Rhinolophus ferrumequinum: one gene and its partners. The protein of the gene in region 1 purifies or fractionates together with the protein of each later gene. This does not show direct contact. Links are inferred from orthologs where the notes say so. Each region holds a gene or a part of one and is shown in the gene's direction. Other genes may lie near its edges.

What was found.
Region 2: the proteins of PPP2R2B (region 1) and IQGAP1 purify together in Homo sapiens (co-immunoprecipitation; 3 studies listed by BioGRID and IntAct, with this or other methods). This does not show direct contact. The link is inferred for Rhinolophus ferrumequinum from reciprocal best matches to the Homo sapiens genes PPP2R2B and IQGAP1.
Region 3: the proteins of PPP2R2B (region 1) and CDCA4 purify together in Homo sapiens (affinity purification with mass spectrometry; 4 studies listed by BioGRID and IntAct, with this or other methods). This does not show direct contact. The link is inferred for Rhinolophus ferrumequinum from reciprocal best matches to the Homo sapiens genes PPP2R2B and CDCA4.
Region 4: the proteins of PPP2R2B (region 1) and ECSIT purify together in Homo sapiens (affinity purification with mass spectrometry; 3 studies listed by BioGRID and IntAct, with this or other methods). This does not show direct contact. The link is inferred for Rhinolophus ferrumequinum from reciprocal best matches to the Homo sapiens genes PPP2R2B and ECSIT.

Annotation. Positions count from the first base shown.
Region 1 is NC_046307.1:19,931,709-19,939,401, reverse strand, and holds the start of PPP2R2B (serine/threonine-protein phosphatase 2A 55 kDa regulatory subunit B beta isoform), read left to right. Parts: upstream 1-4,693; 5' UTR 4,694-4,742; coding exon 4,743-4,915; exon of another isoform or gene 4,916-5,320; coding exon 5,321-5,514; intron 5,515-7,693. UniProt on the Homo sapiens protein: The B regulatory subunit might modulate substrate selectivity and catalytic activity, and might also direct the localization of the catalytic enzyme to a particular subcellular compartment.
Region 2 is NC_046311.1:3,447,428-3,454,517, forward strand, and holds the start of IQGAP1 (ras GTPase-activating-like protein IQGAP1), read left to right. Parts: upstream 1-4,083; 5' UTR 4,084-4,165; coding exon 4,166-4,220; intron 4,221-5,991; coding exon 5,992-6,091; intron 6,092-7,090. UniProt on the Homo sapiens protein: Plays a crucial role in regulating the dynamics and assembly of the actin cytoskeleton.
Region 3 is NC_046289.1:688,288-695,152, forward strand, and holds the start of CDCA4 (cell division cycle-associated protein 4), read left to right. Parts: upstream 1-3,850; 5' UTR 3,851-3,906; intron 3,907-4,107; exon of another isoform or gene 4,108-5,074; intron 5,075-6,865. UniProt on the Homo sapiens protein: May participate in the regulation of cell proliferation through the E2F/RB pathway. May be involved in molecular regulation of hematopoietic stem cells and progenitor cell lineage commitment and differentiation.
Region 4 is NC_046301.1:39,072,632-39,080,087, forward strand, and holds the start of ECSIT (evolutionarily conserved signaling intermediate in Toll pathway, mitochondrial), read left to right. Parts: upstream 1-4,440; 5' UTR 4,441-4,446; coding exon 4,447-4,534; exon of another isoform or gene 4,535-4,542; intron 4,543-6,480; exon of another isoform or gene 6,481-6,598; intron 6,599-7,456.

The DNA of each region.
Region 1 (7,693 bases):
CAAACTTGCCACCGTGCGTTTACATTGGCAGCACTGTACAAACAGCTCGGTAAGGTTTCATGACCTTTGTATATCAGTGTCTCACAGCTGTGTTCGTGTCGATCTGTGGCAGTGTCTTGCTGAGTGTGGTCATTATTGTTGTTGCGTGTTTTTGTGTGCTGTTGTGAGAACGTCTGAGCTTGAATTAGAGCAACGAACAAACATTAAATTTCTTGTTAAACATGGCAAGAGTGGAAGTGAAATCAGAGACATGTTAGTTCAAGTTTATGGGGATAATGCCATGAAGAAAACGGCAGTGTACAAATGGATTAAAGGTTTTTCTGAGCGGAGAGAATGTGTCACTGGTAAAGAGAGGTCAGGGTGGCCAGTAATGAGCAGAACTGACGAAAACACTGCAAAGATTTGTCGAATTGTGCATCAAAATCATTCGCTGACTGTGAGAAGCATAGCAGACCAAGTAAACATCGATAGAGAAACAGGGAAATCTTAACTGAAAATCTTGGCATGAGAAAGGTATGTGCAAAAATGGTCCCAAAGGAGTTCACAGATGAACAAAAAGCAAAGGAGAGTTGAAGTTTGCCAAGATTTTTTGAAGAGGCAAAACGATGTGTTTTGGGCCATGTTATCACTGGTAATGAAACACAGGTGTACCAGTATGACAATACGACTCTGAAACAAAGAGTCAAAGTGCACAGTGGAAGTCAGCCAATTCCCCACAACCAAAAAACTTCCATCAGTCCAAATCAAGAATCAAAACGATGTTGCTAAACTTTTTTGATATCAGAAGGATTATTCATTATGAATTTGTACCAACTGGACAAACAGTTAACCAAGTTTACAATTTGGAAGTGCTGAAAAGGCTGCGTGAAAAAGTCAGACGACCTGAACTTTCTGCCAATCCATAGCTCTTGCATCACGACAATGTACCCGTTCACACAGCACTGTCCGTGAGGGAGTTTTTAGCCAGTAAACAAATAACTGCATTGGAACACCCTTCCTACTCACCTGATCTGGCCCCCAACGACTTCTTTCGTTACCCGAAGATATAGGAAATATTGAAAGGAAGACATTTTGATGACATTCAGGACATCAAGGGTAATATGACAGCTCTGATGGCCATTACAGAAAAAGAGTTCCAAAATTGCTTTGAAGGGTGGACTAGGCACTGCCGTTGGTGCATAGCTTCCCAAGGGAAGTACTTCGCAGGTAACCATAGTGATATTCAGCAATGAGGTATGTAGCAATTTTTCTAGGATGAGTTCACGAACCTAATTGTCAAACTTTGTATGCATACAAAAATGGGTAGAAACAATTATTTTAATAGGAATAGGACTTACAAACTAGAAAATTACTGGCTCACAAGTTTTGTTGGCGGGGGGGGAAGGCAGTTGCAAGCATTTTAATAAGAGTGGAGCATAGAACCTAAATGTCACTGAACAAATCCAGTAATTTACTCATTCATTCAAGAAATATTTATATTTATTTAACCAATATATACGTGCACATCTACTAAGTGCCAGATACTTAATATCAGAGATACATTGGAAATGATTGACAATAATAAGTAAACAGCTATTGCACAATGCATTGTGCCATGAAGAAGACCAAATAGAAGATGTAGAGACAGAACAACCAGAGGGAGGGACTACAGTGTGGTCAGGGAAATTCCTCAGTGACGTAGAAACAATTCAGCTGAGGTGCTGAAAATGCCAAGAACATGAGAAAGGGGCATAGGAATGTGCAAATGCACACGCTTTTGGAAAGAACTTGCCACGTTGGAGGAATAGAAAGGAGGTCAGCAGGTCTTCTGAGAAACCGTCCATGTAGTCCCTCTTGCCACCACAGGATTAGACAGGGCTTTCCCCACTCCCTTACCTCCTTTACTATACAACATTGTATTCAAGTATCAAGCCAACAACTTGATTTTTCTTGGTTTTGGAGGGGCGGGGCTAGTTCCCACCCCTTGGTTGCTCCTAGTGGAAAAGAATGGTCCACAAAATGGAAAGCTTGGAATCTAGTTAACCCAGAACTGTGTCGTAGGGGGAAAAAATGCTGTATGTTGAATAAATGTAGGAGGAATTTTTCAGGAAACGTGAAAAGGAAAATTGAGTAAGCCCAGAGGCTTTATCTACGGAGGGGACACTCCTCCCAATGGTCACAGTGGAAAATTCCTCAAGCACAGCCTGGCCAATGAGCCTGGGCCTACCCACTTCATCTTTGTTCCAATCTCACGCACGGTCCAGGAGGATGGTGGGGGTGAATTTCCTCAATACTATTTATTTCAAGGTCTCCAGTCACAACCTCTGCTCATTTCAACTGAAAGCAAGATGTCTTCTCACCACTTTGAAATGAACTTAGCTATTTTTCCCCTCCATCCTTTCTCCCTGTTCCCCATGATGCCAATCTGCCAGAGAAGCTAGATTGTATAACTACAGATGAGCTGACCACTGGAGCCATCGGATGGATACAGCTCATCACGTGGAAGAACCACCTCGGCAACTGGTGCTGAAGTGAATTACATCGACTTGTACCAGTCTTCTTCTCTTCCTGGAATTTCATCCGTGAATTTTGAACAAATACCGTGTTTCCCCGAAAATAACACCTGGCTGGACCATCAGGTCTAATGCATCTTTTGGAGCAAAAATTAATATAAAACCCAGTCTTATTTTAATATAATATAAGACTCGGTCTTATAGAATAGAATAGAATAGAATAGAATAGAATAGAATAGAATAGAATAGGATAGAATAGAATACCGGGTCTTATATTAATTTTTTTTTTAATTTTATTGGGGAAGGGGAACAGGACTTTACTGGGGAACAGTGTGTATTTCCAGGACTTTTTTTTTCCAAGTCAAGTTGTTGTCCTTTCAATCTTAGTTGTGGAGGGTGCCGTTCAGCTTCAAGTTGTTGTCCTTTCAATCTTAGTTGTGGAAGGCGCAGCTCAGCTCCAGGTCCAGTTGCCGTTGCTAGTTGCAGGGGGCACAGCCCACCATCCCTTGCAGGAGTTGAACCGGCAACCTTGTGGTTGAGAGGACGCGCTCCAACCAACTGAGCCATCCGGGAGCTCAGCGGCAGCTCAGCTCAAGGTGCCGTGTTCAATCTTAGTTGCAGGGGGCGCTGCCCACCATCCCTTGCGGGACTCGAGGAATCGAACTGGCAACCTTGTGGTTGAGAGCCCACTGGCCCATGTCGGAATCGAACCGGCAGCCTTCGGAGTTAGGAGCACAGAGCTCTAACGGCCTGAGCCATCGGGCTGGCCCTCTTATATTAATTTTTGACCCAAAAGACGCATTAGAGCTGATGGTCCGGCTAGGTCTTATTTTTGGGGAAACACAGTAGTCAAACAAGCATGTGACTCTTAACCACCAGATGAGAAGAACATGGAATCTATTGTAAGCTGAACTTCCCCCAAAACTTATATCAAAAAATATCCCTACTCTCTCCTCCCAGAGACGCATCGACGCTTTCTGGAGATGGGGACAATGCCATTTCCCACCTGCCAGAAGCATCTATTCTTCATGGATATCTAATGGCAATTCCCAGCCTCAGTTAAGGACTTGTTTTCCTGTTTTTTTGAACTTCAAATACTTTCTAAATTGTGTTAGCCGAACCATTGTATGTATATAATTAACTCACAGGCCCCTCTGGGCTCATCTTGCTGAACTTGTGGAGCTTAACTGAGCAAGACATTTGCTGTTTCTCCCTGCAGTGACACCCACTGAAATGAATCCCTTCTACAAGAGGAAACCGAGAAAATTTCTTTTCCAAATTGGCTTTCTAGTGACTGGGGTTGCATCATAAATGATGTTGGTTGTTTTATAACAATAAAGATTTAATTTTCTTTCAAATAACAGAATTCGCAATTTGGGAAAACATAGGTGGGGGCAGGAGGGCATTTGGTATTTTCCTCCTAGTTGAAGTAGGAAGACAGGCCACTTTTTGTGTTCATTGGATCTTTGAAATTTCCTCGGGGTAGCAATGGCTCTCTGCGGGCACAGGGCTCCAAGGTACCTTCCCTGTTGAGAGCAAATGTTGTCCTACCTTCATACGCCAAACCTACAGGAGGGCCTGCAGCAGTGGGTCTGCAATAAAGTGCAGGGTGTAAGAAGGTGGACTCGTTTAGCATTGACTGTGTTGAGTAGATTCATCTCAGCCCTCTGCTTCCCTCTGCCTGTGTAAACATAGACTCCTACAGTTAGAAAACGTTCAGGACTGGGAATGTGGAAGTCAGAGGTGATCGCAGAAAAGTTCCGGCCCCTCTCCCCAATTCTGTTCCTAACACAGAAGGTTTAAACTAAGCGCTGGGAAGCTCTTCTTCCTATTCTCTCCTCTCTTTCTGAGGCTTCGAAAACCAGGCCTTGCCCTTGAACTTCATCAAGGGGCTGCACGCGTGCTATAAGGATGAGCCAAAGGGACCTCGAGATAGGCTTCCTGCCTACCCACGGCAACCCACTTCTCTTTGAGGTCCTGAAGCGCCGGTGTCCGGAGAAAGGCAGCGAGTAGGGGCTGTGGGTGCTAGAGTGAACGCCGCCCTTAGCTGCGTAGCACCGAAGGAGGGAGGTGGGGCGCGCGTCTGTGCTTTTACCGTCTGCAAGCGAGCTGCTCGCTGCCCAGGTGCCGGTTCGCGGCTGCGTGCGCCCCACTACAGCAGAGAGCAGCCGCAGCCTTAGCGTCGGCCACCACCGCTGCTGGGGAAGAGTCCTGGGGCTGCTGACGCGGTTGGGAGGAGCCTCGCCTTTAATGCATCAGCCGCCTCCAGCCTTCTGCAGCAGCAGCTGCGAGCGCGCGCGTGTGGGTGTGCGGGTGAGTGCGCTGGAGCCGGCCGCAGTACCCTGCCCAGCTCCCCGCCGGCTCCCTAGCCCCCACCAACCGGAGCCGCCCTCCCGTGGGACCAGCACCCTCACCCGCGCCGGGCCAGGCTGAATCCTGCCCCTGCCATCTCGCCACTGCAGCCCAGGTCCAGAAAGGCACCATTTTGTCGCGGCTGCCCGCTCTCCCAGGGGGAGGAGGGATTTTTTTTTTTTTTTTTTTTACATTTTCGGAGCGGCTGCCAACAAGGGGAACCTGTTGGGCATCTCCCTAGCCCCGCTTGTGAGCGCCGCCGGGGCAGCGGGCGGAACCAGCCCCCTCGGGGCACGGCGCATCTTGGCACCGGAGGCAGCGGAGGCAGGCGCAGCATCCTCGCTGGGAATTGGAGCTGGAGTGAGCGCACCGCGGGAGGAGCCGCCGCAGCCTCGGAGATCCCGAGTGGAGGAGGTGACAGCTCCATTGCCGGGTTTTTATTTTTTTTTCTCTCCGCCTCCCCGTCTCCTCCTCAGGCTCGGACCATGGTGCAGTCCCACTGGCTCCCCTGCCCCCCTCTCCTGTGAGACTGGCTGCGGGGAGGGATCATGGATACTTGTCTGCCGGCTTCTGGTTCCCACGCAAGTAAGCCTGCTGTCAATGGAGGAGGACATTGATACCCGCAAAATCAACAACAGTTTCCTGCGCGACCACAGCTATGCGACCGAAGGTAACGCCAGCCCCGCCGCATTCCGCCGCTGGGGCTGGGAGCAAGTTGAGGATCGCCGTGCTCCGCGGGCTGCTGGGCGCGTAGTGGCGGAGATACCTTCGGGCCCCGGGGCTGGGGCGGGGGCTCGGCTCTCAGGGCCGGCCACCAGGGCGTCCCAGATCCGTCTGGGCTCCGCGAGGTGAGCCCGGCGTTCAGCAGCAGGTGGACCCGGCGCCCACGGGAGTTAAAATGGCCCTCAGGGATTAGGCTTTTCAGGGTGGGGCTCCCGGCTGGAAAAATGACCCCCAGAAGGCAGATGACCCCTCCCCCAAGATGTTTGCAGGGGTCTTTGTGGGAGACAAGAAGGAAGGGGCCCAGAGGGACCGTGGGTCCTCCCCTCCCTGAGCGGAATGTTGTGTCTCTCAGCGGCTGCAGGGAGGGCATGGTTTCATTTCCTGCCGGTTCATCTCTCTGGCCGGGTTACCTGCTCAGACAATCAAAACCCCAAAAGGCCCTTTGCAAAAGGGCGACCCCTCTCCCCTTGGAAGTGCATTAGTAAGAAATGAAAAGGTGGCTGGGAAACGGTGTTCCGGAGGCAAGCGAATGAGTCTGACACGTGGGGAAAGCAATCCGAGCAGCGAGGCCTTTAAAAATCACCATTATGAATTCTGCAGCAGTAGTTTCTGCTGAATCAACAGCCAGCAGAAAGCAAGAGGGTTCAGTAAGCTGAGCTTTGCCAAGAGGTGAAATTGTCTTTTCTCTCTCTCTCTCCCGGCTTGTTCTGAGCTTAACCTAAGTGCCATGCAGGCAGGCAGGGAAAGGCAGCAGGTGGAACTCACTCCGCCTTTTGTGGGTGAATAGAGTGGAGGCATTCTTTTTAAATACCAAAACTTTTGTATTTTTGCTTTCATTTTCTACCTGTAGGCCTTTATCCTTAACCACTCACATAAAGTGTTGCGTTATCTCATTGTCATGTCCCTGTGAGAAAATGTGTTGTGAGAGTGCTTTAGGAAAATGTAGCAAGGTATGCAATTTAAGATTATTCTTAATCTTGGATGCTAAAGTTTCTATCGTATTTAATAAAATCAAAACTACTACGGGAGTATGATGGGGGGAGTAAAAGAGTTGAAGTGCTGGAAGAAATAAGACGACACAATTTGTGGGTAAAAGTGGCATCTTCTATAAACATCCCTGGAAGTTTTAGAAAGAAAGAATGCCCAGCTCTATTGAAAATCTCCATTCATCCATTATTATGGGAGAGCAGCAAGCCTAAGACGTCCATGGTGTTAGGTTATGCAGATCTGTGTGAGCTCTGGCCTTTAGGACCTAAGAAATGGCTTTAGCTCCTTCACCCATACCAAACACCATACTTGCTGATTCTTTTTATTTGCAATGTGTTTGTAAGATGTTCTTTCTCAGTCTTAGTGCTTTGTCACTGACTCAGTTGCCAGGTACAATATGATCATCTCTATGTCTGAGCATCCAAGAGAGAAGTTGGCCTTGGGTCTGTTGGCTTTTGGGAGCGGGGAGAGGGGAAGGACACTTCCTTCTGTTTGTGACAACAAAGAAAGAGCGCTGCCTTCGTGTTTTCTTACGCTATGCCTTCCAGTGCAGGCAAAGGAAACTTACTGAGCTGGGAAGACAGGCAAATTGGGGCCCTGTGTATAGAAGTGTCATCTGTGGAATGAAGAAAGGAGGGAAAAATGGCATTCCTTATTGCTTTCTGGGCTCTAATCTTTGTTCCTGTTTTATGGCATTTTTGTAAACTCTGATTCTGGATTAAATATCTGGGTTCATATAGTCAAAAATGAGGCATGAGTTCATAGCAAAGAGCGTTCTAAAATCTTTCTACATCAACCTCTCAGATATCTCTCTCTTTCTCTGTTTCTGTCTCTGTCTCTCACACACAAAAGATGCTCAAAACTAAACAAACCTTTGTTTCACTGTAGACTTACAGGTGTCTTTACCTGATCGTGGTGAAGGTCTGGGAAGAAAACAAAATGGAACTTAGACAATGTTAACAGCAGAAGTTGGTTAGACCAGGAAGTTGTCGGTAGCTTTAATGTACTCATTTTAGGGGACATTCATGCATTCATGCTGGCCAGAGGGAAAGGTCCTTCACCTGAGAAATACCTTAGAAGTGCTGTACAGCTTGAAAGAGCACCCAATCAAAGTATTCTTTGTTAAAATCCATGTGTTT
Region 2 (7,090 bases), on another chromosome or scaffold:
TCATTTGTAAAATGTGAATCTGTCATCGGTTCCAACTGTGAAAGTTCTTTAACCTTTTCTGAGAATTTAGTTAAACTCATACATCTGCAAGCAATGATAATTGTTACTTTTTCATGGACTTCTCTCTCTATCTGGTATCTGGCTAGTTCCTTTTAATAGTGATTTCAGAAATATTCAAATGTGAAAAAAAGTGGGACTTATTTTTGAAGAGCTATGGTTTCTAAAATGCTACTGGGAAATAAATGAGGAAGTGAATAATTTAGCTTGGGGCAGGAGGTGACATTTGAGTTGGGTCTGGGAAGTTGAGTAGGAATTTCCCAGGTAGATAAGAGGCTAAAAGATATTCCAGGACCAAAGAAACCTCTATTTTGGTGCTTATCTGAAGCTATCCTGTTAATACTACTCCATTCCTGTGAGTCTGTAAATTCTTCAGGTCATGAACCAATTCTATCTCCCCAAATTATTTCTCTTTTTGATTTTTATTTATTTTTATTTTTTATTTTTATTTTTTTAAGATTTTAATGGGGAAGGGGAACAAGGCTTTATTGGGGAACAGTGTGTACTTCGAGGACTTTTTTTTTTTCCAAGTCAAGTTGTTGTCCTTTCAGTCTTAGTTGTGGAAGGCACAGCTCAGCTCCAGGTCCAGTTGCCGTTGCTAGTTGCAGGGGGCGCAGCCCACCATCCCTTGCGGGAGTCAAGGAATCGAACTGGCAACCTTGTGGTTGAGAGCCGACTGGCCCATATGGGAATCGAACTTCGGAGTTAGGAACACAGAGCTCCAACTGCCTGAACCACCGGGCTGGCCCCTGATTTTCATTTTTTCATTTCATATTTACCAACTTTATATTTACAGTTAACCTACAAAATATCATTTTGAGTAGCTCATTGTAGAAAACTTGGAGGAAGCAAATAAACAAATCCCGCACAAATCCACTGTAAGTCCCCCACCTGGAGAAACTTCTGTTAATATATTGATGTATATGCTTCAAGACTTTTTTCTATTCATATGTGCATCTATATCTATATACTTTTAGAGCAAAAAATCGTATCATAATATATGTGTTAGTTCATAATTTGTTATTTTCATTTAACCATCATATTAGAAGTATTGATCGTTGTTTGCTGACCCAACCACTGAAGGAAGTAATGCTCAGCTCACAGTTTTCTACGGCTGTATCTCCTACCACAGAGACATGCCCAGGGAGTGAAAGGATGAGCCGGGCCAATCATATGCCACTAGGTCATGGAATTGGGCAACTGAGATTATCCTCAATGGAGCTGATGGTGTAAGGATGCAATGGCCTTGACTTAAAGTTATGGCAAACCAGATAGAAGCCAGGGTTTTGGGGGAGCAGAAAAAATTGAAATGGAAGAAGAAGTCAAAGAGAAGAGGGTAGAGCAGACCGGTGGAGAAGCAAAGATGCCCAGAGGGACAAACAGACAAATCCAACGCCTTCAATCTTTCATTCATCCTGTTTTTTGTTGCCCTGGTTCCAGTCCATATGCATCTTTATTATAAATGCTTTCCTTTTGGCCATTTTTTCTCTAGAGGTAAAACAAGTGGGTCTCTATTCCTTGTAACCATTTAACCTGATTAGAACCACACATTGTCACTGTTATCACTGTATGTCATTCCATTGTGTGGAGGTGCCATCACTGATTTAAACATCCAGTGATGGGTGTTTAAGACATTTCCAAGGACCATCTTCATCACTAATTTTTGCACTTTACAAAACAATTTCATTATGATCGATTCTAACAGGTGGAATTCCTTATTTGAAGGACAGCTACATAATGCTAAGTTGGACTTCAGAAAGCTTGTGTCAATTTACAGCCCACCAGCAGGGCATGGCAGTGGTTGCTTTTGCAGCTCTTTGCCAATAATGTCAATTAACAAAACAAGACAAAACAAACAAACAAAAAAGACGTTGCTACTCTGACGAGATGTGGTAAGTGGCCAGTTATGATCTTAATGTGTGTTTCTCTGAATCTTGTGTTTACTGACCAGACATGAAGGCTTTATCATTAGAGGGGCCTGGGTTTGAGTTCCAGCTCTGCCTCTTGCTGTGTGGCTTCAGTTGAATTACTTAGTTCTCCATTTTCTCATCTCTAAATTGGAGATGATAATGGTTCTTATTTTATAGGATTACTATGGGGCTCAGATAAGAAAATAAATACAAAACATTTAGTCCAGTAAGCCTCAGTACACTTCAGTTACTGTACTTATGAAGAGTGACTTAATTTGTGACCATCAGGTAAAGCTATGTGAGATATCTGAAACTCACTAGGATGTAGGATGTTGATTTAAATACCTGTTAAAATTGTATGGTTCTAGGAATAAGAAAGAATGCAAAAGCCCAGTAGGTTCATAATCTTTATCATTAGAGAGGAAATACATTTACCTATTTGGCTAGCACTCATTACAAAAGTCTTTAGAATTAAAATAAAAACATATGTACATATCTCAAAAGCCAAGAAATATGAAATAAAATCAAAAGATAAACTGTGTAGGTAGGATTTGCAGGTTTCTAAGAGTAGTCAGAGGATGAGGCAATGAAAGACATAAAAGACATTTGGAACACTGAGAAGAATGGCTCTGAAAGCCTGCATCTCTAGGACTTGTCTGGTAGAAACCACTGATCAAAACTAATCTGAATTGCCCAGGTTGGAAACTGTCTTAACAGCTGTCTTTCAACTCAGAGAAGCTTTAGAATTAAGTATAGGACGGCTTAATGAGGTAAGAACTATGTGATTAATATGTTTGGGTTAAGAAGAAATATGTGCATATTTTACATTTTATACACTTGCAATGTTTAAGAAAATTTGGCTTATTAGAGTTACAGCCTTGTAACTCTTATTTTAAATGTATATTTGAATTAGTTTTAGACTAGATTTTGAGTTCAAATTTTGATAAGTTTACACATGGAACTGGGCCATCTAACAGAACTTTAGATTCATTATATTTGTAAGTTCATCTGATTTATAATTATTATTAAGCCTTGAACACGTTCTAGGTCAAACAATTGAAGAAATTAAAAAGAAAAGCTATTACGTTTATAGACATGATTTTTAATGTTTGAAGATGTTGAATTAACTAAGCTTGTGAATTGGACCAAGAATTATTAAAAGTTTCTGAAAAGTGGTAAAATATGCTAGACTTAACTGAGCACTTCTATTAATAGAGAAATACAGCAGGAGCAGGCTCAGCGTTCGACACATTCAAGTGTCTGCGGGATTCACAGATGAAAATGCCCATTACACAGTCAAAAATACTGAGTTGGGGCTTCTGCAGGGTCTGGTCTGGAGGTACACAGGTTTATGGCTCTTCAGCAGTTTAAGGCAAGTGTGGAAGTTACTCAGAAAGAGTGGTCCAAGAAAAACCGGAGGAGGGCTGAGGACAGAATTCCGTCGAGTACCAATTATTTTAAGGGCAGCGCACAAGGTGCAAGGGGAAGAGCCATACCCAAAAGGGATAGAGTCCCCTACAAAGAAGAATTTGCAAAGATCAGCGGCAGGGAATCAAAGGGAAGGAAGTTTGGACCAACACAGCTCTCCTGCTTCAGCATTCGCTTCTCAAGTACTAGGGGTTTGAGCAGTGCAAATCTGGCGAGTGCTGGCGAATCTAGGAGAGAACTGAGGCCAGATTGCGCTCCCTTATGGCAGTTTGGGTCCTGCTGTGTCAAACAAGAACACGGTGGGCCACTTCAAAGGACGCCCTCCTAGAGCCCTTTGGTGCAGAGGAGTTTAGTTCGGCAGGCAGGGGAAGGGAGGGAGCCCACGGTTTTTATTTCAAGCCACCGACAATGGCAGCCTTTTCGTTCGAGGTGCGGACCGGGCAGCGGCCGGGGAGGTTAGGGTTCCAGGGCCCGGGTGGGCCTTCCTTGAGGAGCAGAGCTGCACGCTAGCGCGGGCTCCGCCTCCTTCCTTCCACCTCCTCAGGGCGTGGCGGACGGGGGTGTGGCCAAGGGCGGGGCCGGCCGGATCGGGCCCCGCCTCCTGCTGCTCCCGTCGGCAAGGCAGGGCGGGGCCGCAGGGCGGGGCCGGCGGCGCGGGGCGGGGCCTCGGCGACTTGGATAGCCCGCGCACTCTACAGCAGCTGCCGCTCTCGCCGCCCGCGCCTCTAAGGTCTCACCGCTTCCTCAGCAGAGACCTGGGCTTGTCCGCCATGTCCGCCACAGAAGAGGTTGACGGACTGGGCGTATCCCGGCCACACTATGGCTGTGAGTGCGGGGCTCTGCGGCGCGGGGGTTTCGGGGCTGGGCTCTCTGCCTCCCAGGCGCCGTTTTCCCGGGGGCTTGGCGGGGCGGGTGGGGCAGGGCGGCTGTCGGCCGCGCGGACCCGGAAGAGCCGGGGCGGCGGGCGGGAGGGGTGGCGGGCGTCGAGGCCGGCGTTCCGCGCCCCCGGCCTCCGATGCGGCGGGGGGCATCCAGGCGGCCTCCTTGCTTTAGCTCAGGCGCTGAGGTTGGAGGGCCCCACCCAGCGCCGCCCGCCGCCCAACTAGACCGAGATTTTAGGGGACGGCCTAGGGTGAGGTGGCAGGAGGACTGTGCAGGGCGTGTCCCGGGGACCGGAGACTGGAGACCGGGGCTCTGCTCAGGCTTGGTGGGGAGCTGCTGCCCTAGTGCTGCCGGCGAGCAAGACCCAGGGTCCAGACCTGCCCGGTCCCAGGCAATCCCAGAGGTGCGGCCCTGGGCAAGTCACTTTAGCTTTCTCGGGCTCAGTTCCCTCGCCAGGATTTCAAAGTTTAAAAAAAATTTTTTTTTAAAAACACCAAAAAACAAAAACCCTCTGACTTCCTCATTTTCTGTAGCTGTCCCTGGGACGTCATTGACCTGCAGGCGAGATAGTTACCACTGGCCAAAGGAGAGCCCATTGGCGTCTTGAGGTTTTTCAGTTTTATTTTATATCTGAGCATAATGTCCTGTTTTTAGGATAATTTCACTCATCAACAGTTATATGTGAGGTATTATGTTCCATTTGTGAAATTAAGGGTGAGTTAGACCAGGCCCTGCCTTCAAAGAACGTTTTAATCAAAGAGACAGGTGCACAACTCAATGATAATAAGGTATAATAAAGATAAAAGATGGGTGAACTAACTTGGCATAAACAGTAGGGTGGGTGAGGAGACGGGCTTGGGGAAGGGAGGGGGCCCACAGGTAGTGATTTAAACAGAACCTTGAGACGTTGTGTCAGGTTTGACAGGGCAGGGTAGGGCAAGAGATGTGACTGAAGAGGGAAGAGCATGAATTAAGGTATTAAAGAGTAGAAAGGCACTGTGTGTTGGGAACTGAGTGGTGTGGAGTGCACAGTGGTGAGCAAAAGGGCAGGGAGAGGGAGAAGAGTTTCCAAAAGTAGTTGGGGCTAAATTGGGAAAGGTCTTGAGTGCCATCGGAAGGAATTAGTAATTTATTCCATACCTTGGGTGCCTAAGCAGGAGGTAGATTGCTTCAAGGTTAAGCACACAGGTTTTTGAGATAGACTGTCTAGATTTGAATCCAGGCCTCACCACTTAGCTGTGGGGCTAAGATCACCCAGCCTCAATTTCCTCATCTGTGAAATGGGAGTAATAACAGGATCGTCGTGGGGCTTCAATGAAAGAAGGCAAGTAAATGCTTAGCACAATTACTACCACTTAGTTCTTAATGACTGCTGGCTTTAGTTCTTGATAAAAGAGGGAAACAACATGATCAGCTGTGTATTTAGAAAGAGTTTGGCAGGTGGGCTAGGACAGACTTGGACCAAAATCTCAAGTCATTATTTTTCAAGTTATGTTAAAATTTAGTGTTCATACTTTTAAAAAAAGGGTAAGATGAGTATAGTTGAAACCCCACAGTTCCTGTTTTAGGAAAGTCATTGTAGAACACCTGGCTACCACACATTCATAAGTTACCCTGACTCTAAGTGACTAGCAGACTTTGATTCTGTGGCATTCTTTTATCGCCCAGAAAGTTCACAGATTCTTGTGTTCATATTCTTTCTTTCATATTTTAGCTGTCCTGGATAATGAGAGACTTACTGCGGAGGAGATGGATGAAAGGAGACGTCAGAATGTGGCTTACGAATACCTTTGTCATTTGGAAGAAGCAAAGAGGTAAAGATTGGCTGGCTGGAGAGAAGATTGGCAGTAGGGAGCTGATATGGTGTGAATACAGATAAAGATCTCTATGTTGCAGATGTGATTGAGGGAGGCTGCTAGTTTGAAGGAATAAGTATAGGGAGGGTATTTATTCATGGGAGCAAGTAGCCTTGATGGCAGTTTATCATGAAACACTGGTGGCCATTTCTGTATACTGGAAAATGTCCAGATTTGTGTTCAGTTTTATGCCTGTGGTACATGTTTGGGTCACTACCAGCTATGGGAGAGGAGTAACATTTTTATGGTTTGAATTTATTGGCTTTAATGTTTCACTGATTCTTCACTAGCTTTGATTTATGTATGAATTGGGTTCCTTCTCCCTTGGTAGTGCTATCCCGTGTTTTCCCGAAAATAAGACCTAGCCAGGCAATCGGCTCTAATGCGTCTTTTGGAGCAAAAATTAATATAAGACCCAGTATTATATGACCCAATCTTACAGTAAAATAAGATGGTCTTATATTAGTTTTTGCTCCAAAAGACGCATTAGAGCCGATTGTCTGGCTAGGTCTTATTTTCGGGGAAACACGGTAGGTATAGGTCCATCCATTTGGCACTATGCAAAGGCAGCATCCTCTACATTCTTTGTGAAGTGCAACTGCTGTTTTTCCTTTTCAGATGCTCCAAGACCTCGTGGTCTTATTCTTAGAATGTCGATTTGCTATCAGTGGTTCATTTCTTTTGTTCTGGTACTGTGTTCCTTTGTAAAATCTCAGGGTAGATAGATGTAATTACAGATCATGTATCCTATAAGTGAGCTCTGGTGGAAAAGACAGCAAGGGATAGTGAAAGCTATTTGTCATCATAGTCTAATGACAATCAAGGATGTTTCAAATGTTGCTAATAAAAGTTTTTAAAAAAATCTGAAAATATTCAAATGCTACAGAAAAGTCCAGAGAACAGTATAATATCCATGTATTTCAGAACTAAAAAATGTTAGCCCTTTAGATCTTTCCC
Region 3 (6,865 bases), on another chromosome or scaffold:
CTTGACAAGATGAGTCCTCTGATCTGTGGCCCTGGTATATTCGTCTACCATTTACAGAGTTGTTAATTTCTCTCAGCCGTGATTTGCACTTTTCCACATTTAGGCCTTGTGTTTTGTTGTTAGATTTATCCCTGGGCGCTGATGTTTTTGATACTTTGCAAATGGTATCATTAAAAAAATTTTTAATATAAAAATAGTTTGTTACTTGTATATAAAAGTGTAATTGATTTTCCTATGTATTGACTGTTTATCTGACGGTTGTGCTTAATTCTTTATTAATTTGATCTTTATTATCTGGAGATTTGCTATGGACTGAACTGTGTCCCACTCAAATTCACACGTGACTGTCTTCGAGAACAGGGCCTTTAGGAGGTGACTGGGGTTAAATGAGGTCATAAGGGTGGGGTGCTGATCTGGTAGGATTGGTGGCCTTATAAGAAGAGAAAGAGCTATCTATCTGGCTCTCTCTAAACTGCTGTCTGCAAGCTAGGAGGAGAGCTGTCACCAGATGCCCAACCTTGTTGGAACCTTATCTTGGACTCCTGGCCTCCAGAATGATGAGAAGTACATTTCTGTGGCTAAGTCACCCTCCATGGTATTTTGTTACGGCGCCGAGCCGGCTGCGACAAGATTCTTCTGCATTTCTACATTTGAAACCTTCTCTTCAGGGAATAATGATTTTAGTTATTTTCAAATCTTATACCTGTTGCTTCTTTTTCTGGCTCTAGGCCCTACAGCATAAGGTAGGGCAGGAGTGGGGGGAGCAGACACCTTCCCGACCACAGGGTGGAACTTCCACATCTGTACTGTTTCACTAGGCATTTGTTGACGCAAGAAATGCCTCAAACTGTGGATAACTTTTATGAGTTTTTCTGAGCCAAACTGATGATTTCTGGGAAGCAGGATCTCAAGGGATTGAGAAAATGCTCCAGGGAACAGCAGTTTTGCAGCTTATTTTATACATTAGAGTCAAAGAAGGAGACTAAGGGGGTTCTATGGAATCCATGGGTGGTAGGTTAAAGGGGTGGGAGAAAGCAAAGCGGGGAGATCTCTTGGATAAAAAGTAAAACGGAGAGACACACAATCCTTTACACGGGTGGGTACAGGACAGACAACAATGAACACTTAAGCATGTGGAGATGGTATGGGAACAACAAAATAATAGTGAGGGGGTCTGTGGTCTGGGCTCTGGTGGGAGGTTGTGCCCTGAGGGGTCGGGGGAAGGAGATTCCTCTGACATTTCAAAGGTATGTTATCTTAGATGCAAAAAGACAACAGACAGGCTCACTTCAGGTAAAGAGTGACCTTTGTCAAGGAAGCTACAGGCCTAGGACGTGACTACCCGCCACGACCCGCCTTTAGTTAGGAATTTTGATGTTCAGACCATCCTGTGTGGTCACTCTCATTACTGAGCTTGTCACTGCCATGTGGCTCTCCTGAGCTTGTCAGGTTTAGTTATGTGACCCCGTTTTAGTCCACACATTACACTATTTCCTACAGGTTTTTTGTAAATACACTTTATTCAGCTACAGGGAGGTCCCTTGTTGTGCAGTGAAGAAGTGATCCATGCCCAAGGCCAGGTCTGGTCCTTGCCCTGGCAACCTGAGAGGTGATCTCCAAACTCTTGGGATGTCCTGACTGCTAGTGGTGTCTGTTAGCTAGGGGCCTGAGGCTGTCGGGTGTGCCATCTCCATGCATGGACCCTCCTGGACCCTGCCCCATGCACTTCTCCTGGCTGACTTTAATCTGTAAGCTTTCACGCTAATGATCATAACTGTGAGTGTAACAGTTTTCAGCAAGTTTTTTGAGTCCTAGTGAATTACTGAAGCTGACAGTGGTCTTGGTGACCCCTAAACATGCAGTGAATATCAGGACCAAGGGTGGTCCTGTGGACTGCTGCTAACCTGGCACCTTACTTTCAGGTTCCTAAGTATTTTATCATGAATTTGTGTTGAATTTTATCAGATAATTCTTCTCCACCTGAGATGTTTATTTTTTTATTTTCCTTCATTTTACTAATGTGATGCATTACATTGGTTTGTTGAATGTTAAAGCATTTCTGGAATGCTTTCCATTCCTGGAATAAACCTAATTGGTAGTGATGTGTTCTTTTTTATTTATTGCTGGGTTTGATTTGCTACGATTTTGTTTGGAATTTTGAAGTATGGTCGCAAGAGAGACTAGCCTGTAATTTTTCTTTCTTGTTATCTTCTCAAGTTTTAGCACCGAGGTTAAGCCGGCTCCTGATAAGCTGGGGAGAATTCCTTCTTCACTACCTGGAAGGCTCTGTATAAGGTTAATGTTATTTCTCTCATTCTTTATTCACCTTGTCGTTAATTTTCTTGAATACAACAGTTCCTTAAAACAAATAAACAAACAATTGTAACGCTAATATTACAGCCAACCATGAGTCTATTATCTGGGGTTTTTTCCCCTTTTTTGCCATGTTTTGTTCTTGTGTCCTGTTAATTTTAATTTCATGCTGGAAATTTTGAGTGAGAAAGAATGAAGGCTCTGGAAAGTTATCACCTTACTCCAGAGGGCATTTTTGATCTTTGCCAGTCTGACAGTGGAAATCCACCTAGCTTCACTTGCGTGGCTCTTGCTCTGAGGCTCAGTGCCTTCCCGCCAGCTTACCAGCATGTTCTTCCTTTGCTCTGAACCGTGTGTCAACATCCTTTTCACACCTTCTGCTGGTTTGTTGATCTTTCTATTTGCAGAATATCCAGGTATTAAGAAATTCAGTCTTTTGTGTGGCATATGGTTGGGAACAAAATTTTCCCCTAGACTTTCCCTGTTTGACATACCTTTTAAATATTTAGGTCATCACATTTATCACAGCCACTGACTTGCACCCCAGGACTGCGGTGACCTAACTGGACGTTCTACTTCCGCCTCCCCCAATCAATTTCAACAGTGATTCTTTTCAAGCCCAGTTCAGAACCCGCCCCTCTTCTGAGCAATGGTCTCTCATCTTACTGCGAGGAAAGCCCACACTCTCTTAAATATTCTGAGTGACAGACTCCCTTTCACTGCAGCCAGGCCCCCCTCCTGCCTCACCTCCCGACTGGTCCAGCCGGTCCCTCTGCCTGGAATTCTTCCCCTCCCTCCTTTTGGGCGTGTTCTCAGACGCCGCCTTGGAGGCCTGCGCGCTCAGGGCCCCGCGCCTCGGCTTCTGGCAGCACTTCCCACCGTGGTCGGGGCCCAGCGCAGGACAGGGGGGCAGGCGGCTTTTACTGGGTTAGCACTGCAGCCCCGCCTGCGTTTAAGAAGTGTTACTTGGATTAACGGATTCTGGATTTTGTATCCTATTTCAGACCTTTTCCACTAAGAAATAATGTAAAAAACAAACTCCCGTTTTCTACTTTTATGGTTTTGAGAGTTATTTTTGGGCCAGTCGACCGTTTAATTTCTTACATGTAAACCTGGGAAGCCCCTGTTGTGACCCGTGCCGTCCAGGGAGCTGCTGCCCTGCCCTCCTCTTCCTTCGCCCTCTCCGCCGCCCTTCTCCCCTCCCCTCCCCAAAGCCCCGCCCCTAACTCCCTAAAGCCCCTCCCTGATCCTCCTGCTCCTCCCGTCCCCCTTCCGGTCCTCTCCCACCCACACCTCCCGCCCCGCCCTGCCCCCGGGTGGCAGAGCGCAGGCGCACTAGAGCCGCGCGCGGAGACCTGGGAGTCGGTGGGGGCGGGGCGCTGAGGGCTCCAGCCCAACGGCCAACGCGGCCGCGCGGGAACTCCAGAGCCAGGCCCCGCCCCCGGTTTGAATCGGAGGCCCCGTCCCCGTGCTCAGCCAATCAGCGGGCGGGGTGGGCGGTGCCTTGGCGACTCTTTGTGGGCGCTGAGCCGCCCCGCCCCGGTCCCGCCCCTCCCTCGGCGGCGGGCGGCGGCGCAGACGACTGGAGGCCAGGTGAGCGTCCGACCCCGGCGTCCGGTTCCTCCGCCTCGGCGGGTTCCGGAGGGCGCGCTGGCACGTGCGGGCGGCCCTCGGCGCGCGACCCTGGGGTGCTGGGGGAGGGCGGCGGCCGGGGGACAGGGGGCAGCTTGGGGGCTGAGGGGACCGGGGAGGGGCCCGGCCGCGGGGGCGAGGGTGCGGCTCGGGAGTTGGGGGGGACCCGAGGGTGTGCGGCGGGCGCTCGGAGGAGGGGGCGCGACCCGATCGACCGGTGGCCCCCGCCTGCCCGCCGAGTCGTACGCCACCGGGGATTCACCTCGTGCTGCCAACAGCCTAAACTTTCGCCGTCCCGCACCACTACCCGGAAAGTAGGGCTCCAGTGTCTTTCCTCGCGTGGGGGCCCTTTACTAGGACAAACACTGGACGGGGGTGTATTGGGCGGCTCGTGCAGTGCCGGCTTCCGTCGGGAACCCCCCGCACCGTCTTCCCTGTGACTTGGTAAAGGTCAGCGCACGCTCCTCCTAAGGCCCCCACGAAGACCCTCCTGAATCCCGGTGGGGACCGTGGCGGCCCCTCCTCCTCCCGGCGGTCGTGACCCGTCGTGGCCGTGTCTCGGTTTCCTTCCCAGTCTGCACTCCTGCGGAATGGGCTGTGGGAAAGGAGGTTAGCAATCAAATGCTGCGATTTCACCGTCCGTCGTTTTAGCAGAGCTCGGTTTCGCTGGTAATCGAATGCCGTCCCAAATGGCCGGGTCGGGGGCACCTTTCACAGGGCGGCCTGAGAGTGTTCCTTTCCTTTGTTTCCTGTTTTAATTGCTCTGAGAAGGAAGGCTAAGGATCTTTTTCAGTGGTTTCCCTCTGCCCTCCTGCAGTAGACCCTCTCGGCTGGTCAGGGAGTCGCCTGCCTAGGTGCCGGCCTCTGGCCTCCCGGTGGTCTAAAGCTGGGGCTCTGCACAGGCCAGCGTAGACTCGGGGGGGGGGGGGGTAGAGGAGGACTCCCAGAGCCGGGCAAGTGAACTGTGTGCAGTGGGCTCCTGTGCCTGCCCGCCCGGCTCGTGTCCCATGGGAGGCAGCCGCTGTGACTAGGAAAGGTACCAGGAGCTCGCTTCCACAGGTCAAAAACAAGCTCGGCTCTACATTTTCAAGAGCTTATTGGATCACCAGGAAGAGACCCCTCCAGCCAGGTAAGTTTGCTGGGAGACGCTCCGGTCCCAGCAGTGTTTCCCGCTGCGTTTCCTCCGCTGGTAGCATGTGTGCTGCAGGCCTGAGTTCATGGTTCTTTTCAAAGGAGCCAAGGGAAAAAGGAAGTTTAGTGTTTTATAAATGTCCTACATACAACTGCTCTATTTTTAGGTTTGCCATGTTTTATAATTAAAGTTGAAACTCAGAATAAAACGTCTGTTGTGACCTTTGCAGGTTTATCTTGGAAAGAGGGCAGGCAAGTTTCCCTCACTTGCTAGTGGAACATTCACAGGCAAAGAAAGTTTGTATTTCATTCCAGGTAACAAAAGTGCCTGAAATTCATTTTGTAGAAACATCTTAGGAGAAATGTCAGACAGCAGCAGGGCCCAGGGCACCACGTCTCACCTGGGCACCGTTCTGGGGACCTTGCCCGCGGCTCCATCTTGTCTCCCTTGAATGTTGCGTTTCACAGCAAATCTGATGGTGGTGTGATTTGCACTCACAGGAGTGCCTTGCAGTGGCGGAGGGTCACGGGCACGGCTCGAGCCTGTCCCAGCCCTACTGCGTGGAATCTGGGGATCGGCATTTCCCACCGGCCATATGGTGTGAGGCGGCCTGGCCGCCTGGGTTCTCTCTCCGTGGAGGCTCTGAGTGGGTCGGCATAGCATCCTCCTCGCTCCATGTGCCATGTGGAACTGCTCAGTCCCTCTGCTTTCTCTGGTCAGCGCTTGGTCTGGAGGAGGCTGAGGGGCAGTCCTGCATGTTGACTTTGGGGTTTCGAGTGGAATACCTGCAACCCTGAGCACTTGGTGGGATTGGGGCATTTCACTAGGTACGCAGCAGCACCTTCCGGCCGATTGTGGCGACAGTGGAGGTGGGTAATTCCTAACAGTTTTGTTCAGAATTAATGCGAGTCAGGCCGTGCAGTTAGGACAGCCTCAGAGCAGCTCGTTGGGTCCCCGTGTTAGAAGGGTTCAGTACCCTCAGGCCACAGTCACTTGGGCTTCGCCGAGAGCTGTGCTGCGCCAGGCCCACCGAGGGGTCTGTGTCCTCATCTTTGCCCCCCCACTTCTCAGGGTCACTTCAGAGCCATGCAGACTTTGCCCCAAACACACGTGTCTGAGGCCCTTCTCCTGGGCTCAGCCTGACCCCTTCACCCGGCGCATGGCCTGCCCTTGAGCTCCTCCCTTCTGTAGGGTCAGCCTGCCTGCTTTCTTGTGAAGTGGAACAGCACCGGCAGTGGCTGGCATTGGGGACATAAGAGCAGGGATTCAGAATGACTGAATGTATCTTTGTCCTGCTGCATGTGCAGTGGGCAGTACCTGAAGTGGTTGTTTTCAGTGGATGGTTGCCTCCCCAATCAACTTATTTGTCCCTTTTGTGCATCAGGGACAGTGAACAGGACAGATGCCATGTGCAGGCCTCTTGGTCGTGACAGTGCATGCACTCGGAGCCACGCCGCTCACACCGCTGTCCTGGCCAGTTCTCTCCAGACAGCGTGCTGTCTTACACTTGGGTCAGCTGTGCCTGTTCCAGAAGCTCACAGAAGCACTGTGTTTTCCCGAAAATAAGACCTAGCCGGACAGTCAGCTCTAATGCATCTTTTGGAGCAAAAATTAACATAAGACCCGATCTTACAGGCTTGATCAGTAACTGACGGCTTCCCTAACTGTCTGCACTATAAGCCTGACTTGCAGGGAGGTTATTAGCTTCCCGGGCTGTCCCTCAGGCCAGAGGTCTGACTGCAGCAGGCTGTGCAAGGACCCTGAGTGGGTGCTGGGTGTCCGTGTGCA
Region 4 (7,456 bases), on another chromosome or scaffold:
ACAGGAATCTTGATAGGGCAGAGGCGCTGCCACTGCGCAGTCATTGAGGCATCCTAAGCTGGCTGCGTGTATCTTCCCGTCCCCTTGCCGGTGTCCTGCGTCATGGAAGCCAAAGTATTGCAGAAATGGCTTTCTTAATGGGGGCAGATAACTATCCTTGCCTAGAGCCTTTGCTACTGCCAAGCCCGCATTTTATGTGCTAGTCCACTTAGGTTAACAGCCTAAAACTGAAGCTTTCTCCGGGAGCCCAGGAGCTCTCCCTCATCACTTCAATCTGACCTAATTTCTTACCCCTTATCTTTTTTCAGTAGACGTTTTAAAAATTATGGTATAATCTATAACAAAATTTACCATTTTTAAGTGGTATTAAGTACATTTATGTTGTGTACCATCATACATCTTCAGTTTTTTCATCCTCCAAGACTGAAACTCTGTCCCTATTAAACATTAACTCCCTATTCCTCCTCTCCTAACCCCTGGCACCCACCATTCTACTTTTTGTTTCTATGATAATTTGACGACTCCAGGGACCTCATATAAGTGGAATCACATAGTATTTGTCCTTTTGTGACTGGTTTATCTCACAAAAGGACAGAATTTCCTTCCTTTTTAAAGCTGAATAATATTGCATTATATATACATACCACATTTTATTAGTTCATCTGTCGATGGACATTTGAGTTGCTTTGATTATTGTGAATCATGCTGCTATGAATAAGGTGTGCAACTGTTTGAGTCCTTGCTCTCCATTCTTCTGGGTATATATCCAGAAGTGGAATTGCTGAATCATATGGTAGCTCTATTTTTAATTTGTTGAGGAGCCACTGTGCTGTTTTCCATAGTGGCTGAACCATTTTAAATTCCCATCAGCAGTGTGCAAGGGTACTACTTTCTTCACACCCTCATTAACATTTGTTAGATTATGCTTTTTTGATAATAGCCATTCTAATGGATGTAATGTGTTTAAATAGACTTTTAAAGTATATAATGTATAGAGAAAACTCTACAAGTTAAAGCTCAATGAATCAATTATCACTTTTTAAAACTTTTAAATTGAAATATTAAAGTAAAATGCACAAGTAATAATGGAGAGCTCAATGAAGTTTTACATACACATATATACCATGTAATTGCCACACAGCTCAAGCTATTTTTTTAAAAAAATTCTTAATCTATAATAACCATTATGTTAATCACATGTAACATTTTACATTTTTACTTCATGAATTTGGAATAAAATTCTAAGCATTTGGCTAACTTAAATTTCTTTTCCTTTTTCAAATTAATTTTATATTTCCCTCTGGATCCAGCACACAACACGTATTTGTTTTAAAATATGTATAATGAATGTATTTTGAAGCTTTGTTTTAGATGGCAGAATGACTGAATACATAAATCTAAATAACTAAATTAATACACAGAACACAGAGTAAAGCTCTACACACAAGCAAAAAGGACTGAAAAATGTTAACAAAAGGTAATATGTTCGAAGTTCAAAAGTAGATTAAGGTTAACAAGATGATAGACGAAATCATATCCAAAAGTTTTAGAGTTTGCACTTAATATTTTTCAAGCTGCAAATAGTTGTAAAATATTTCTGTAGAACATGGGTCTTTTGTCTGTGTTCCCCATTAGAATGCCAGCTCCCCAAGGTCAGGAATATTTTTGTGCTCACTGCTGTAAGGAGGCACTCAATAAATGCTTTTTGAGGGAATCGGAGCCTTCTGGTTGTGGGATGGGCACAGCCTCAGGTTCCTCTGCACAGCCTCCACCATTCTGGCCCTGGGTCCAAGTCTACAGCAGGTTTAGGGGAGCTCTTCCACATCTCTTCAACACCTTCCCACACTCTGCTCTGGGACGTGAGGGCTTCCCTGCCTCATGCTCTGGACAGCATGATGTGGTATACTCACAGCATGTTGAGGATGCCCACGACCAGTGTAGCCAAAGTCAATACCCCTCAAACTTTAAAACAACATCACACTGATGCCAGCTACACAGACCACAGCCATAGGCACACCACTCAGTAAGGCCATTAACAAATTGTAGGGGCAGTTCGCTGTACTCAGCAACCAATTTTGGACAGTAGAGTGGGGATCAGGGTGAGGGAGGGAAAGGGGAATGCAGGAGAGGAGCAGGAAGGCCATCACATGTCCCCAAATCCAAGTATCCCAAACTGACAAAGGACTGTGAGCAAACAAATTGGCATAGAGGTCTATGAGGTAATGCAGGCTGCTCTGGAGCTGGGGAAAGATGGGGGAAGGCAGTGGTAGGGTAATTAGGCATGCAAAGGCAGTCACATGGTACTGTCACAAGGGATTTAAAGGTGTTACTGCTGGGGTTTAAAGGTTGGGTGAGCATCAGGACAGTTGTGACAACTCACAAGGGACAGTTTCTAAGGTTTAAATATTAGGATGAAAAGAACATTCATCTATTCATTTATTCATTTTGTAACTAACATCTAGTGAGCACCTACCATGTTCCAGGCCCTGTCTCTAATGCTGGTGACAACACATGCAACAGACAAAATCGCCCTGTTCTCATGGAGCTTATGTTAAAGAAGCACACAGGAGATGTTCAGTACGTCGTGGTGGAGTGTGTGGGGGGTGTCTCCAGGGGTCTTTATTCCAAGTGGTGAAAGCTGAAGAGAGAAACTGCATGGTAACCTAGGAACATCTAATGGCCTAGTTGTGGTGGATCAGCACGAGGTCTGGAGGGAGGCAGGAGTCAGAGGAGGACAAGGGATTAAGTGAATGTGACCCTGGGCCCACACAGTTGTACCCCATCTGCCATGGAGCAGGTAACCAGAAGCATCAGCCACAGTTTCCGGGGCAGGGAGTCCATTGACTCCCCCTGTCCCCCAATTCTGGACAGCTCTGGACAGGGTAACTGGGGGCCTGGCATGGAGGGGTCAAGACCCTGAGTCAACCTCTGCCAGGGCTGGGGTAGAGAGAGACAGAGGGCTGGCCCATGAGGCTCCTTAGCCTAGCTCTGAGAACCTTCCTGGAGGGGACCCTTCCTCACCTGGACAGCTTCAGCAGTGTCCACCCCACTTCCCCATGCTACTAGCTCCCTGCCCCCACAGGAGCGAAGAGCAGGGGTGGGAGTGGTGTGGAGAACATCCTCCCTGGCCCAGCTGACTCATGGAGTGAGGTTGATTTTGATTTTCTCCTTGGAGAGCAGTTTGTACCGCCTGAGGGCGCTCATGGACAGGAAGAGGAGGGTGGACGGGCACCAGGGCAGGAGGTCAGGGCGGGGAGTGAAGGAGGAAAAGGGAGTTAGACCCAGGCCCTCAGGTCCCGCCCCGCACTTCCTGGAGGCATTTGCGTGACTCCAAGGTGCTTCTGAGCCCACGTGAGGCTGTGGAACACGCGCTGGCTGAGCGCTGTCATGCAGGGTGTCATGCGGGGTCTCTGGTCCCACTCCCCGCATTAGAATGCAGGATATGGTGAGGCCAAAAAGGAACACCCACGGAGCCATTATTGGGGAGTCATACCACTATATTCTCCCCAACTGCTGGGACGGAGACACAGGAAGTAGGAGCCACACTATCCTCAAACTGCCGTCCACTTCTCTCTGCCAACCAACCCCACTTGCTAGCTGCAATCAGCCATGCTAACTGCAATCCACTCTTGCTAGCTCAGCCACCGTCCTTTTGCTAGCCCCCATTTTCTGCTAGCGTAGCCACAGCAGTTACATTAGTGGCCAATGGCTCACTGGTTACAGCTGATGGCCAACTAGCCACAGCTGATGGCCAACTAGCCACAGCTGATAGCCATCCAATCACAGTTGATGGCCAGTTACTACCAGAGTGAGCACCTTTCCACATGAAGGTGAGAGCCTGGAAACTGCACTCCTGAGTCTATCCCCACAGCACCCAGAAGCTCATTTGGCGCAAGACAAAGTCAGGAGGCTGAACCACGGAAGAGGGGGGGAACCATAGGGATGGGCAGGTGTATTGCGCTGCAGCCACATCCACGCTCCAGGTACCTCCTATGTCCGACTGCCCAGCTCCTGTAGTCAGCGGGGCGGATGCCAGATACACCATCTCTACTGTCGCCCTGCCCGGAGGTAAAGGGATTATCCGGTGATCATGGACATGCTGCACAGAGGGGAGAAGTATAAATACAGGGACCCACACACTACATTTTTAACACGTTTGGGGATACTTGCACCCTTAATATTTCATTCCCACATTTCACGTGGGTAAACGGACCGCCAACTGGATTCACGGCCGTCCCCAAGTCCAGCCTCCCAACCCGGAAACGATCCTCTCACTCCTTCCCCGGCCATATTCCTCAATTCGCTTGGTCAGGGATGTGGCTTGCCTTGTTAGGGGTGGGGCCTAGCTCGTTACTAGGCGGTACCAAGGTCGATCTGCCTTCCTATTGGTGGTCATCCCCTTTGGACGGGACTTCTTTACACCGGCGTTCTTGATTTGCTGTGGCCATGGTGGTCCATGACCTGGAAGCTCTCCGGGCAACATGGCGGCGCCCAGCGGCAAGAGGCAGCTGGCTGGGATTCCGCGGCCACCCGTGTGAGTAGGTAGGTCGCGCGTGGGGAAGCGAGCGCGAACTGCAGGACCCCGGGGAGGCCCATTCTGGACCGGCAGCGCGGAAGGGCGGGCCCAGAGGGACCCGGCTGCAGAACCAGGGCACCATGACCTTTTAGGGTGCGGGGCTGGGACGTGCGGGGAAAGGCCTCCCTCTGTGCACCCGCCTCTTCCTGTCCTTAATTGCCCATTTTGCGGATGAGATAGCTGAGGCTCAGCGTGGTTAAGGACCTCTCCCGAGGTCACGCCGCAGGTCGGCAGCTAGGCTGGTATTCAAACCCCCATTTGCCCGTTTCTCCCAAGAAGCCCAGAATCCTGGCAGACGGTCTCAAAGCTGCTGTAGGTACACCTGGCTATGGGATTCAGATTTATGGATTATAGACGCTTTGTAGAAGTTTAGCTCTTCTTCGCATTCCACCGATACTTGTTAGGTACCTATCATTTACCAGGCACTGTTCCGGGTGCTGGAGACACAGCAATGAGGAGGACAGACAAAATCCGTCATCTCCTGGGGGCGGGGGGAGGGGCCAGACATTGAACAAGTCAGAAAGAAAGAGAACAGGTGATTTCAGATGCTACTAGGAGCTAAAAATGCATTTATCAGAGTGATGGAGGCTTTAGATAGGGAGTGGGGCAGCAGTGGTTAGGGAAGCCTCTAATTTGAATATAAACCTGAATGACCAGAGACACCTGTGGACCGATCGGGGGAAGAAATTTCCAAACAGAAGGAAAAGCAAGTGCAAAGGCTCTGAGACTATAATAAACTTAGCTTGTTTAAGATAGAGGTAGCTGGAGCTGTCAGTGGTAAGAGTTGAGTTTGGAAGGGTATACACTGTCTGATTTTATCTTAAGTAAGATATATCATTAGTAATTTTAGGCAGAGAATGCTGAACATAGTTCACGTTTTAAAAAGCTTCCTTTGGCCCAGGTTGGGAGAACTGACTGGAGACAAGTAAGGAAAGAAGTGGGAGGATGGGAAAGAGGCCCCTGGGTGTTGGCCTGCAGATGGAGAGAAGTGGATGCATTTGGGATGGATTTGGAAGTAGTCATCAGGACTATATGGATTGAATAGGGGAATAAGGGACACAGTGGACTCATCAGTGAATCCTAGGTTTGTGGTAGAATGACTAGGAATGATGGTGTCATTGGCTAGGATGGGGAGGAACAAGTGTAAGCAGGGATACAAATTAAGAGCACATTAAGTTTGAGATGGCTGAGTATATACCGAAGTGCAATTAGGTATGGAGGACGGTGCTCACAGCTGGCGATAAACATTTCGATTCATCTGCACATAGATCATCGTTTCTCAGACTTTAACACACATAGAAGAAACTTGGACTCTAGTTAAAATGCAGATTCTGATTCAGTAGGTCTGGGTTAGGGCTGAGATTTTGCATTTCTAATAAACTCCCAGATGATGATGCCAATGTAGCTGGTTCCTGGAACACACTTTGAGTAGTGAATGTTTCAATTAAGGTCTTAATCTTAGCTGTATATGAGAGTCACTCGCGTGTGCTAAAATGCTGGTGCCTGGGCCCTGCCTCTAGATATTCTGATTTAATATATCGGGAGTATGGCCTGGACATGGCAATTTTTTAAAGTTCCCTAGATGACTCTAACATGAACTGCCCACAGGAATACAAAGAACAGAGGAACAAGTTGAATGACACCTCAGAGTAGTAAACAGACAAATTCAGAATGTAGTACTCTTTGTAGCCTTCTTACTTAAAGTGTGGTCTTTAAGTAAGATCAGTAGCATTAGCATCACTCAGAAGTGTGTTAGATGTGTAAGAGTCTGGCTTCACACCAGAGCTGCTGAATCAGACTTAGCATTTTAACAAGATCCCGGGTGATTCGTCCACACATTCAAGTTTGCAAACATTGTAAACTTTAGAGAAGGAAGTGGATCTTGCTGATTAGCTGAGAAACAGACCTGGGTGCTAGGAAGAAAATCAAGATTGTCAAGAAGATGGTAGGAGGGCCTCACCCATGCCACATGCTACTGAGAACTCAAGCAAAATGAGGCCTGAGAAATAATCACTGGCTTTGGTAAGTTTAGAACACACAGGGACCTTTAATGGTGTTAGTGGAGTGTTTAGTGCAGCAGCCAAGTTGGAGTGAGTAGAACACAGTATGTAGACACCTCTCAGGAAAAGCTTTGCTGTAAAGGGAGCAGAGATGTGGAGCAGAGGCTGAAGGGAGACTTCAGGTCAAGATGAGAGATGCTAGAGAAAGTTTAAATAGTGATCAGAATAATCTAAACATTTCCCAATTCATTTGATGAGGCCAGCATTACCCTGATACCAAACCAGACACTAAAACTACAGATCAATATCTCTTATGAATATGGACGTAAATATCCTCAACAAAATACTAGCAAACCAAATTTTAGCAACATATAAAAAAGGATTGTATACCATGATCAAGTGCAATTTATCCCAGAAATGCAAGGTTAGTTTAAAATCTGAAAATCAGTTAATATAATATATCATAATAATGGAATAAAGAACAAAAACCACATGATTAATTCAATAGATGCAACAAAAAGCATTTGACAAAATCCAATACACTCAGTATGTAGGTATAGAAGAGAATTTCCTCAACCTGATAAAGGGCATCTATGAAAAACCATAGCTCACATCATACTTAACGATGCAAGACTGAATGCTTTCTCCCTGTGATCAGGAACAAGACAAGGAAGTGGCTCTTACCACTTCTATTCAATGTTGTATTAAAGGTTCCAGGCAGGGCACTTGGGCAAGAAAAAGAAAAGTCATCCAGATTGGAAAGGAAGAAGTAAATCTATCTCTATTTGCAGATGACATGATCTTAAATGTAGAAAATTCTAAGGAGTCAAATAAAAATCTATTAGAGCTAATAAGTGAATTCTACATAGTTGCAGTGTAC